Linked DNA regions of Drosophila melanogaster. Changing the gene in region 1 together with any one later gene gives a genetic interaction. Each region holds a gene or a part of one and is shown in the gene's direction. Other genes may lie near its edges. The genes, in order: Bace, Nep1 and SNF4Agamma.

What was found.
Region 2: of Bace (region 1) and Nep1, changing one enhances a phenotype caused by changing the other (phenotypic enhancement), as found in Drosophila melanogaster (one study listed by BioGRID).
Region 3: of Bace (region 1) and SNF4Agamma, changing one enhances a phenotype caused by changing the other (phenotypic enhancement), as found in Drosophila melanogaster (one study listed by BioGRID).

Annotation. Positions count from the first base shown.
Region 1 is NT_033779.5:8,494,542-8,498,295, reverse strand, and holds Bace (beta-site APP-cleaving enzyme), read left to right. Parts: upstream 1-1,988; 5' UTR 1,989-2,027; coding exon 2,028-3,146; 3' UTR 3,147-3,403; downstream 3,404-3,754.
Region 2 is NC_004354.4:6,089,206-6,092,959, forward strand, and holds the start of Nep1 (neprilysin 1), read left to right. Parts: upstream 1-2,089; 5' UTR 2,090-2,363; intron 2,364-2,427; 5' UTR 2,428-3,010; intron 3,011-3,754. Other genes in the region: Mipp2 (multiple inositol polyphosphate phosphatase 2), read right to left, coding at 1,204-1,637, 1,912-2,089; raptor, read right to left, coding at 1-501. UniProt on the Drosophila melanogaster protein: Metalloendoprotease which functions in fertility and memory formation. Required in the dorsal paired medial neurons and alpha/beta mushroom body neurons for the proper formation of long-term and middle-term memories.
Region 3 is NT_033777.3:21,154,466-21,158,219, forward strand, and holds the start of SNF4Agamma (SNF4/AMP-activated protein kinase gamma subunit), read left to right. Parts: upstream 1-1,896; 5' UTR 1,897-1,946; intron 1,947-2,972; exon of another isoform or gene 2,973-3,031; 5' UTR 3,032-3,192; intron 3,193-3,754.

The DNA of each region.
Region 1 (3,754 bases):
TTCCAACTGTAGGAAGAAAATAAGCAATCAGAATTAGTATTCCATTTATGAGCCCTAGCAAATGTTCTTTTCCCCGACAATTCATTTAACTGAAAACATTAACTGAACTATTTTCACTTGTTTAATTTATCTGTCATCGCAGTCGGGTTATATTTAATGTGCTTATAGGCCAAAGTTCGCTGGCTAGTGTTGATTTGAAACATCAATATCTTGCTCGATTAATCGCCTGGCACTTGACTGACTCCGAGGCTCATAAACCACGAGTGGGTGCATCGGAGATCGAGCAAGCTGTGAAAATGCAATCGGCGGAAAGAATTCGATGTGGAGTAGAAGAAGGATGAGTAGTGGGTGCTCCTGCCTGAACGAATCGCCCACCTATTGATTACTCGGAGGCAAATGCTCACTGACCGAACCGGATACTATCCATAATAGCAATTTATTTGTTTTCTGGCTCTGCCTCTGTGCTGTATGAAATATATTTACCAATTGTGAATGTTTGCTGATTATTTTTGGTTAAATATTATTTGCATCTCGGTCTAAGCCTTTAAGCCATGTCCACGCACAGCAAATAAAAATAAATCGAAATTCATACAAGCGCACACAATTCGGTGAGTTGTTCGGTTAGTTGGTCAGCCACCCCGGGCGTATACTTTATTTATGTATTTGCCGACTACAATCAACTCCAGTTCAATCCACTCGCGTTGGGCCATAAATCAAAAAATGATTGATAAACGGTTGAAGGGGACTGGGCATGGGCGCTATTTGAGCAGCCTAATAATTGCACATGAAATGTCAACGCAGGAATGCGAGAAACAAAAAGCAGGCGGCCCACGTCGCTCGGTAATCATACGCCCCGTGTGCCCAGTTACCAGTATGGTTACCGAAATTGCCCGACGGTGCGTAAAATCCGTTGATTACTTTATTTTGGGTCGAAAGTGCGCAACGCACTCGCCCGTGGACACCTCCATTTTGGCCCCTTGTCTGTTCGTGTGTTACTAGCCCTCGGCGATAAGAGCGGATGCTCTGGACCACAATTAACCTGTGGCTGACCACCACACAGAATCACCACCCAGAAATCCTCACATTACTGCTCAACATCCCACCATCCCACATGTGCAAACAGTCCCTGCGCTGGCAATAAAACGCAATCGAAACCATGAATCTCCTTTGTCCTTCTTGGCCAATTGAAGTGGCATTTTATTTGATTTTAAATCTGATTTCAATAGGGTCTTAAGCTTAATGGTAGTAGGAGCCATGGCAAGAAGATGACTGCCGCCGGACCTGCATTTGCTTTTTTATCTGCTAAAACGAAATTTATATTTTTATATGACCGAGCAAATAGCTGGTGAAAGTGCTCGAGTGTAACCACTTGATTGGAAGGGAATTTAAGCCGAGGTGAATGCGTTTCCTCTTGGCTGAAAACGATCAAATTCCCACGTTTCCTTAAATTAACCAATTGAAAACAAATTCATTCTGGTAATGTGAGTTAATGCTCGAGCAATTATATCATCATCCTTAGTTACTAAATGATTTGGCTTTTTGCTAAGCAGGGGTTTTGCCCAATATGCCTGGTGAATTTCCCAAATGCATGGTTTTACCCTAAAACCCTAACACACTTATCGCTATCTCTAATTTATTGGCTTATCTGTGAGCTTAATCATGCAATGATATTAAAACAAATTACCATGAAGAGTCACTTATTATTATCGCGTAATGTAAGCACTATCAAAGTCACTCAAAATGTCCAATCATAACAAAGTCCAGCTGCGTATTGGAATTTAGGATTCACTTCTTGAGAACGCTATCGAAAAGATCGAAATATCACCTCACACCTGAAATGATAATATGCCAGATTATAAATATCGAATGCCGGACGAGCATTAAGAACTCATACTGCTTAAGACTGGAGTGGTCAACAAATCTTATCACCGGACAATTTGGGCTGTGATTGATGGCAAGTGCTATAAATTAGACCCGCTACACCGATCGTCAGTTAGTCGAACTCGAGTAGACTAGAAACCAAGAGAATGTTCAAGACCATCGCTGTAGTAGTGCTCCTGGCAGCCCTGGCCAGTGCCGAGCTCCATCGCGTGCCGATCCTCAAGGAGCAGAACTTTGTGAAGACGCGTCAGAATGTTTTGGCCGAGAAATCCTATCTGCGCACCAAGTACCAGCTGCCCTCGCTTCGCAGCGTGGATGAGGAACAGCTGTCCAACTCGATGAATATGGCTTACTACGGAGCCATCTCCATCGGAACTCCCGCTCAGAGCTTCAAGGTTCTGTTCGACTCAGGCTCCTCGAACCTGTGGGTGCCATCGAACACCTGCAAGAGCGATGCCTGCCTGACCCACAACCAGTACGACTCCAGCGCCAGCTCCACCTACGTGGCCAACGGCGAATCCTTCTCCATCCAGTATGGCACTGGCAGCCTAACTGGCTACCTGTCCACCGATACCGTCGACGTCAATGGCCTGAGCATCCAGAGCCAGACCTTTGCTGAATCCACCAACGAGCCGGGCACCAACTTCAACGATGCCAACTTCGATGGCATTCTCGGTATGGCCTATGAGTCCCTGGCCGTGGATGGTGTGGCTCCTCCGTTCTACAACATGGTGTCCCAGGGTCTGGTCGACAACTCCGTCTTCTCGTTCTATCTGGCCCGCGATGGCACCTCCACTATGGGTGGTGAACTCATCTTCGGTGGCTCCGATGCCTCTCTGTACTCTGGCGCTCTGACCTACGTTCCCATCTCGGAGCAGGGCTACTGGCAGTTCACCATGGCTGGATCCTCCATTGACGGTTACTCGCTGTGTGATGATTGCCAGGCTATTGCCGATACCGGCACCTCCCTGATCGTGGCTCCCTACAATGCTTACATTACCCTCTCCGAGATCCTGAACGTGGGTGAGGATGGCTATCTGGACTGCTCAAGCGTCAGCTCCCTGCCCGATGTCACCTTCAACATCGGTGGCACCAACTTCGTCCTGAAGCCCTCGGCCTACATCATCCAGTCGGACGGCAACTGTATGTCCGCCTTCGAGTACATGGGCACCGACTTCTGGATTCTGGGCGATGTCTTCATTGGCCAGTACTACACCGAGTTCGATTTGGGCAACAACCGCATTGGCTTCGCCCCAGTCGCCTAATTAACGATCCGCAATTACGAATCAATAAAGAAACGAGCTCTTAGAATTTTCTACCAAATGTCTGGGTCACCTCAAGTGGGTCACCTTTCGAAGGCTGAAGGTGTAACAATCTAATCTGTTTACAACTTTGTAAGTGGATAGGTTGTGAGTAAGCGACTCCAATTGCGTTTTACAGTCATGGCTATTTATGCTTATCTGCATTTCATATAATAAATGAATTACACATTGGACTTTCTGTAAATTGTTCGAGAATGTATAAAGTATATATAATTTAAGCTATCGTTTACGTAGAAATACCACTCCATTTATTTATTTATTGACACTTAAGGAGACTGAAGTGGTTATCCAAATGTGTTATCCGGTAGTCCGCAAATTCCCAGCTGGCTGTGGGATAAATGTTGACTCCGGACCCAAAGGAGATGGTGTTATGAAGGCAATGACAGAAGCCATCAGCTCCGGGAGCCAATTCATTTGTCCAGCCTGTTGGCCGGGCAATGATGTGTGTCACCGGGTGTCAAGTGGGGACTCTGGTAGCCCGGGGGAATGCCACAGATGTCAGGTATACTGCCGGGGTGTCAAAGGATAGCCAGTGATGTCAGAGAATTGTG
Region 2 (3,754 bases), on another chromosome or scaffold:
GCCCAGGATCTGTATTTCCTTCAACCGCAGTTTGATAGAGTCGTCCCGGGGCCATTCCTTTCTGATAGTCCGGATTAGCTCCCTCAAAGAACCGAGGGAGGCCAGTTCCTGGCCGTTGGAGGCCTGAATGTCGGATATTTGCTCGATGTGCTTCACGATTGGTACCAGTGATTGGTCCTGCCTCATGTTGCTAATCACCTTACCCAGGTCGTTCAGAGAGTCGTCCTGAGATGGGTCCCGGCCGATGGCCACCTGGTTCCCCAAGGCGGCGGATCGACAGTGCTCGATGTGCTCCAGTTGCTCCATTATCAAGATTATCGGATCGTCCCACGGGGCGAATACATATTTCTCGTATCTCTTGCGGATTAGGACGCTCAGGACGGCCTCCTTGCTGGAGGCCACCTCTTGATCCGCGACGCTGCCGTTGCTGCTGCCGCTGCTTTCGTCGACTGCGACGCCGACTGCGGCAGCGGCGGACTTAGCGCGAACGGCACTTGTCATGTTCTGCGTGCTTTTTGTTTCTCTCGTTTCTCGCTGTATTGCTTTTTTTCTTTTTCCGTTTGCCGAGGAGAGGGTGCAGCTCAATGCGAGCGATTTCCCGGAGCGATTACGTCTCGGTCGCGGATTCAATCAGCTAAAAATCCCCCCGAGGGGACTCTAGCACATAACCCCAAACACTTTTCGCACTTTCCGCACCTCCACCACCGCCAGCGCCTCCTCAGCTCCGCTCCGCGCTTTTCTGCTTTTCTTTCCACGTTCCTCTTCTCCACGTTTTCCGCCTACGGATCGCGGACCATTTCCCGAAAACGGGTAAAAAGAACTCGGGGAAAACACGCCGCCTGGGCTGATTAGGTCGATGCCGGGACAAAATAAAAACCGTACAACTATAGCGAGCGATCTCCGACGGAAGATGGTGCGCATTAACAGGTTTATTTACTTTCGCTTGGGTTTATTTATTTATGTTTAATCGAATTATATTATACGAAAAGAATTGCGCAGAAAATAGAGCTGGAACAAAAATCGATGATTTTTTCGATTGCACGCTGGCAAGCGGTTTACAACATTGATATCGATAATAAACTAACAGCGAAATGGCCTAGCTGTAATGAATGGCGTTGCCAGATCATTACAAGCTCATTTGTAGCGCGTAATTCAAAAGTTTGTTTTGGTTACATTGACAGAAAAAACTAAAGGACTGCTCACCCGCAAAACAGGATCCTCGTGCAAAGGCGGCGGATATCGTACAGTATGGATGCGATGACGGCCGAACAAACCCGTAGCGAAGCTTTCCGCACTTTTCAGCGTTCTCTGGGTCGCAGTATACTTGAAGTAGTACCACTCCGGATTGTACAACTCCGGAAGTAGATCCGGAAATCGCCGCTGCATCCGTTCCGCCAGCTCAATCAGCTCATCCTCACCCTCGGCCACCAGTAATTTCTCATCTTCAGTGGCATTCAGATGCATCCAGTGCCATTGGCGCAGCTTTTCCAATTCAGCGGTGCAGATCGGCGGCTTCGTCTGATCCAGAATGCGTTTCTTTATCTCTGATAGTCGATTTTGCGCCTGAAGGATAACGGATTCGCTAGGATTTCTAGTTCCGTGTCGGATGATGGTCCAAATTCGCGTCGGATGGCAGCCTTGTCGGGTGAAACGGTTAAAAGAGAAAAATCAGCTGTTCCATTGCCATTTGCTAGCAGTAGGCATCGGTAATAATAAACTAGTAATAGTATAATAACAAATCTAAAGCGATTCTCTGTTTTATGATCAATAAAGAATCCATATGCTTTCATGATTATGAATTCACTGTATTAAGCGAGCGCTGTTAACTGTCACATGGCACAACACATGTTTGTATTTCTAAGCGGGTGCCTACTGTGGGTGCGTTACACAGAAAACAACAAAAATACAAACCGGCGTATTTCGGTGGCGTTTCGTCATAATTTGCGATCGCTCTGTAGGGCGTCTTTGTGGACAGTCTGCCCTCGATATCTGCGCGATTAAGGCGGCGGCACTCCCCCTCTTCAGACAACGTCACGCCCACGAAGAAGTGGAGGAGCAACAAAAACAAGCAGTAAAATTGGCTTAGCATCTTTCCGGGCGGTGGAAAAACTTGTCACGAGATTAGAAACGAGGTTTACCGAAAAACGGGGTTAAAACGTGAAAAACAGAACGAAATGCCAGCTCAAAAGAAATCTAGGAAATAATAAACACGAAAGAAAAACAAATTGACAAGTGTGCTAGTCGCGCAAGGTGGCAAGGCTATCAGCTCAGCTGGCAGCCCTAACACATGGGGCAGCCAAAAAAAACCCGTTTCCACCGCCAGTTGGCGGTATTTTTAAATAGCATCTTCGATGGCATCAGTTGTAAGTGCTTGGTTGATTACTCATTTCAGGAAGCTTTATTAACACTATTTTATAATAAATTTAGTTAGATTTGCAGGTGCCTAAATCAGCGCATTGCCACTCAACAAGTGTTCACTTCGCCCAATCGAGCTTTCTGCCTCAAAAAGCTCTGTTTTAACCGGCCCGGCAAACTAAGCGATTAAAAAATGGTTTAGTCGCACGCCAAACACGCAAAAGGAATAAGCGTTGGCAAGGGAAGCATTTTGAATATCCTGTCCAAGAATAAAACGAGAAACTTACACACAACTTAAAATTGCAATAAATAATTAACACCCCTGAATTCGTTTCGTGTGGTCACTCAGTTTTTGTTCCTAAGAGTTTCGGTTAAAATTTGTGCTTATCGAGGTTCTCCTCGTTGCTTTTTGGCTGCCATATGGCGCCCAAGGAGCCACAATCCGCAAATGTCAATAGTGAAAAAAGGAATAGCTGAAACGCACATGCCAAAAGTTTTGCGCCAAAACTAAAGTTCCAGGTAACCGGTAGCTGGGAGTAGTTGTCCATTTGGGAATTTATGTATGGGAGCAGGAGCCGGAACATTGGAAGTGCCTAACTTTGATTTGTGGTAGGAACACACGCTACTGCACTGGAAAAAATCAAGCGCCTGAAAAGTAATTAAATTTTCTATAAGCCACCTTTCATTTTTAGACTTTTAGTGCATTTGCACTTTTTAACTGAAAACCTCTTATCACTGCTTACTGCTACTATCAACTTAACTTATTGACTTGGCCTGGGAAAATAATAAAATGCTAGTAAGCATGTGCATGGTAATTTAAGCATTTACGACAGATGCCCTGAGCTCATAAAAATTATCTTTATGTAAACATGTTTAGCTATTTATTTATTGGGCCAATTAAATTAGTTGATAACTTGAAAGCACGCCACTTTTCTCGCCGTGTATTCACGCCACCTGTTGGGCGCCCATTTCTTTTTTTGGAGCTTAAAGCGCGTGTTTGGAAACTTTCAATCTATTTTTGTGAGCTAGGATGGCAATCAGCTAACGAAAATCGATCAAATGATGGCTTTTCTTTGTTCGTAGGGTGAGGGTGGCTTGGTTACGTTAAAGGGCGGGGGAATCCACACACTCCCCACCGAATTTCGGGCGAGATTCCACCAAGCCGCCCATATATGATCGGTTGAGAATTTGTGGACAGTGGACAGGTATCCTATCAATCAGCGAAATCGAATGGGCAACGCAATTTCCGCGATTACCTGCCGCATCGAGTGGCCAAAAAAAAAAGTGTCACAAAGTAATTACACAAATGTGGGTGTTTTTCTTTTGTTTTGGATGGGGGCTGTGCCTGTGGATGGGGTTTTTGACGGGGGTAGTGCTTTATAATCTCCCAACTTATCGG
Region 3 (3,754 bases), on another chromosome or scaffold:
CGGATTACCAAGCCAAAAAAACCAACAGCGTTGAACTAAAGTCATTCCATAGAGCCAACGTGGCGTATTAGTAATGTTAGGAAATGTTAGCTGTAGTTGAGTTGAAACTATTAGTTAAAATTCGTTCAAGTAAAGTCTATATAAAATTAGGTATGTATAATGCAAGATATATAAATCAATGACCATTTGTTTTAATTGTTTTGATTGGTTAATTTTAGTGTTCATAAAAGCGTCTTTATATCTAAGTTTTGCTAAGTTTTTTATATTAGAGAATTTACGGAAAATGTTTTATATAGTTCCATCAAAGATCAATATACTCTAATGCCATTGGCTTAATTGAGTTTCAGTTGTTTTAGTCAAAGGAAACAAGAACTTTGCCACCTGTGCGCAATATTGATTTGATTTTTCTCACACTCCATTGCAGTTTTCGGCGAGGCCGACAAGGAAGCATCAGCCACAGGATGCAGAGCAGTGCCGGCGGAGCGTCGGGGGGCAGCAACTACGAGGACGTGGCCGCCGCCCGCCGAGGACGCTTCCGTGTCACCTCCTCCACGCCACAGGGCCCGCCCGAAACGACGCTCGGCCGCTTTCGTCTCATGCCCACGTGTAAGTTGATTTGGTACTTTTTCGCCTTTACAATTTGAGTTTATATAAAGTATACGACATTAATCATTACAGTTATGCTAATAGTAATTGATATCTTTTGGTCAAATTCTCGATAATAAATGCATGGTGCTGAATACTGACCCCTTCTTTCGCCTTTGCAGCTAATTATGGCGCCATTTCGCCAATCCTCCAGCGGGGTCGCTTCGCCGTGATTCCCGAAGAGCCCCAAGCCGGTTCCCCCGCATTGGGAACGCCTCCGCCGGGCGGCCGAACAGCGCGTTCTCCATCGCCCGAATGGGACTTCGACATCGAGCAGGTGAGTGTTCCCAGTTCCTCGGCTGGGATTGATTGATCGAGCTAGCAAAAAACCCTGAGCATCGAGGAAACTTATTTTCGAGAGTACTTCAAATGTATTTATTGCGTCCTTGGACCTATTTGGAATGGTCTAAATGAAGTTCGTGAATGGTGGCAAATTCATCGACTCCGATTTCAAGTATTTTGCTGTTTCTGGTGGCGTCATTGTGTGCTCCTCGGTGGCCTCTGTGCAATGCGCCATTTTTATTGATTTTTGTTGGCTTAGCTGAAGTTTCAAAGAGTTTGGGTGGGCTCCGAAAGTGTGAAAGGCATGCCAAGGCAACTGGTTATGATTATTTATGGGGCATAAAATCTAATTTCCAGCACTATGATGGAAATAGGAATATGCTTATGTACATAAGTTTAATTTTTTTTAGCTAAAGCTAGCTAAAGTTTTTTTTATAGCTTTTATAGCTTTTTTTATAAAAGCTAAAGTTTTTTTTATAGCTAAAATGTTTTCTATTTTGTATGTTCGGCGTGATTTACAGAGCGGAGCAATTTTTGCAATTCAAACTTATATCATTTTGGCGCCTAAAGCGGCGGTGCATGACAAAAACTGATTGCTATTGCGAACACGGTCCGATCTGGCAACGCGTTGTTTTTTAAGTGTGACCGCCGCCGGAAAGTAGCAAAGCGCATTTTATTTAAAATAACTTCTACGCAACTAAAGAATTCTCAATGATTCTTGTTTATTGAATAAATAAGTAGATATATGTGCGTATTTACTTACGCGAGTGGGCACTTAAGAATTTACTATTTAAATGCACATATTTCAGTAAAATTGCAAACAACGAGTTATAGAAAAATACTAAAACAACGTTACAGTTGTGGTCACGCTAATTCCAACTGGATTGTAAAAAGATCTCTAGCGATAACGATAGGCGAAGAGTAAGACCTTTTCTGCTGGATTTCGCAAACGATAACGATGACCACAATCGTGAGTTAGGTTGCGAACTTTGCTTGGTGAAAACGCAGCGGATTACGAGGTTGGGAAAAACTTTTAATTCGCGTTAAAAAACGGGAGTGCAGTGAAAAACAAAGCAAATTAAATGTTCTTAAATTCTTACTAATTTATAATAAATAATTTAATTGAGAGAAAATTCCGGCATGGTGTCAGGATAGCATGTCCGCGCCAGTGGGTGGCTTAGCCATAAAATTCTTCTGTGATAAGCTGCGTGAACAGCTTTTAATTGTGCGCGAATGGATTGCAGAAATTGCAGTGACAACAACGGCAACAACGGACAATCGATCTTTGTTCTTTTGAGTGCGCAAGTGAATTGTGAAACTTCTTTCTTGTTACACAAAACAATAGCCTCTAATCACTTTTCCTGCCCATGCATACACACACATGTGTGCATATGTACATCCCTATAAAAAATCAATAATCGGCGATCAGCTGTTACGCATACAAACAAACACATGGCGTCGCTGGAAAGAGCGACAGAAACGTTTTGGAAATTTTCCACGGACAAATACTTTTATTTGCCCAGATTTGCTATTCTTCTGTTTTTGTTCCTTGTGTCAGTTTCTAGCTGTGTTTCGCGCAGTAATGGTTTAGATTCTTAATAAAAAGTGGCAAACACAACAACGTCCTGCTGCTCCTCTTCTTCTTCTCACCCCTTCCATTGTCCGATCACTGCGTGTTCCAATTGGAAAGTCGAGTCCAAAGTGGAAGCGCGCGCCCGAATAAATTTTCATTTTGATTCTTGATTTTTATGGCTCGCATTCTTTGCTTTTATTAAGATCGATTCGGTTGTTGTTGCTGGTGTTTTCGTGTTTTGTGATTTATTTGGTGTTGAACCAAATGGCTGATAATTAGCCGAGTGAAATGAGTGCTGTAATCTAATCTGAAAAGTCAACACCTCGAAAGTGTTTGGACATCCAGCGAAAAGTCGTCATTATAATTTCGCTCTAATCTCTGAATATACACTCATAACATATATATAACATATAATGCGCCAACACAACCAGCTAATTCGTTACGTCTCTTCTTATTTACAATAATTTCTTAGCGCAGCTAAATGCCTAATCGCGAAATTGTTTACAAAAGTTTTGTTTTCCACCCGTTCAGGTGAACGTGAATGTGTGTTAGTGTGTACGTGAATGTGCGGATGTGTGTATGCGTTCCTGTGTCCGTGAAATTAATTTTTTAACCGAAATTCGACAATTGTGATTCTGCAATCTGCCAGCGCGAATCAGAAACATCCAATTACTGATAAAAACACACAAAAGGTGGGTGACAATTTATTTTCTTTTTATAATTATCGAAAACCTGATTTACTTCACTGCCTTTATTTTCTTTTTGTGTTGATATGAGCGCTTGACGTTTGATTTTCCCCGAAACTTTTCATCTGCCTTTTGTGTCGGTGACTAAGTTGAGTGGGTGGGAAATTCCCCCAGTTCGCGGCGACGCTGGGAAAATACCCAAAATCGCCCAAAATTTTTTCATAATTAGATTTTCAGAATGTGTAAACAATTTTATTAAATTTTTTTATATTTAGAAAACATTTAATAAAAGCGATCAATTATGTAATAGATAGTGTATAACAGTATCAATAACAGGAATAACAGTATTAAATCAGGCAATGTAAAATATAATAACATAAAACAATTCAAAGGGTCTTACCTGAATTCTTCATACGACTTTTTTTTGTCGAAACTCATTTGAAGTTATGGTTATAAAATCGTGAGTGGATTTCTTTAAATGTAAAAGTACCCTATCACGATGCCTACTACATTTTAGACATTGACTAATTAAGTAAGCACACTTCAAGCGAATGCCCAGAAATTAAAA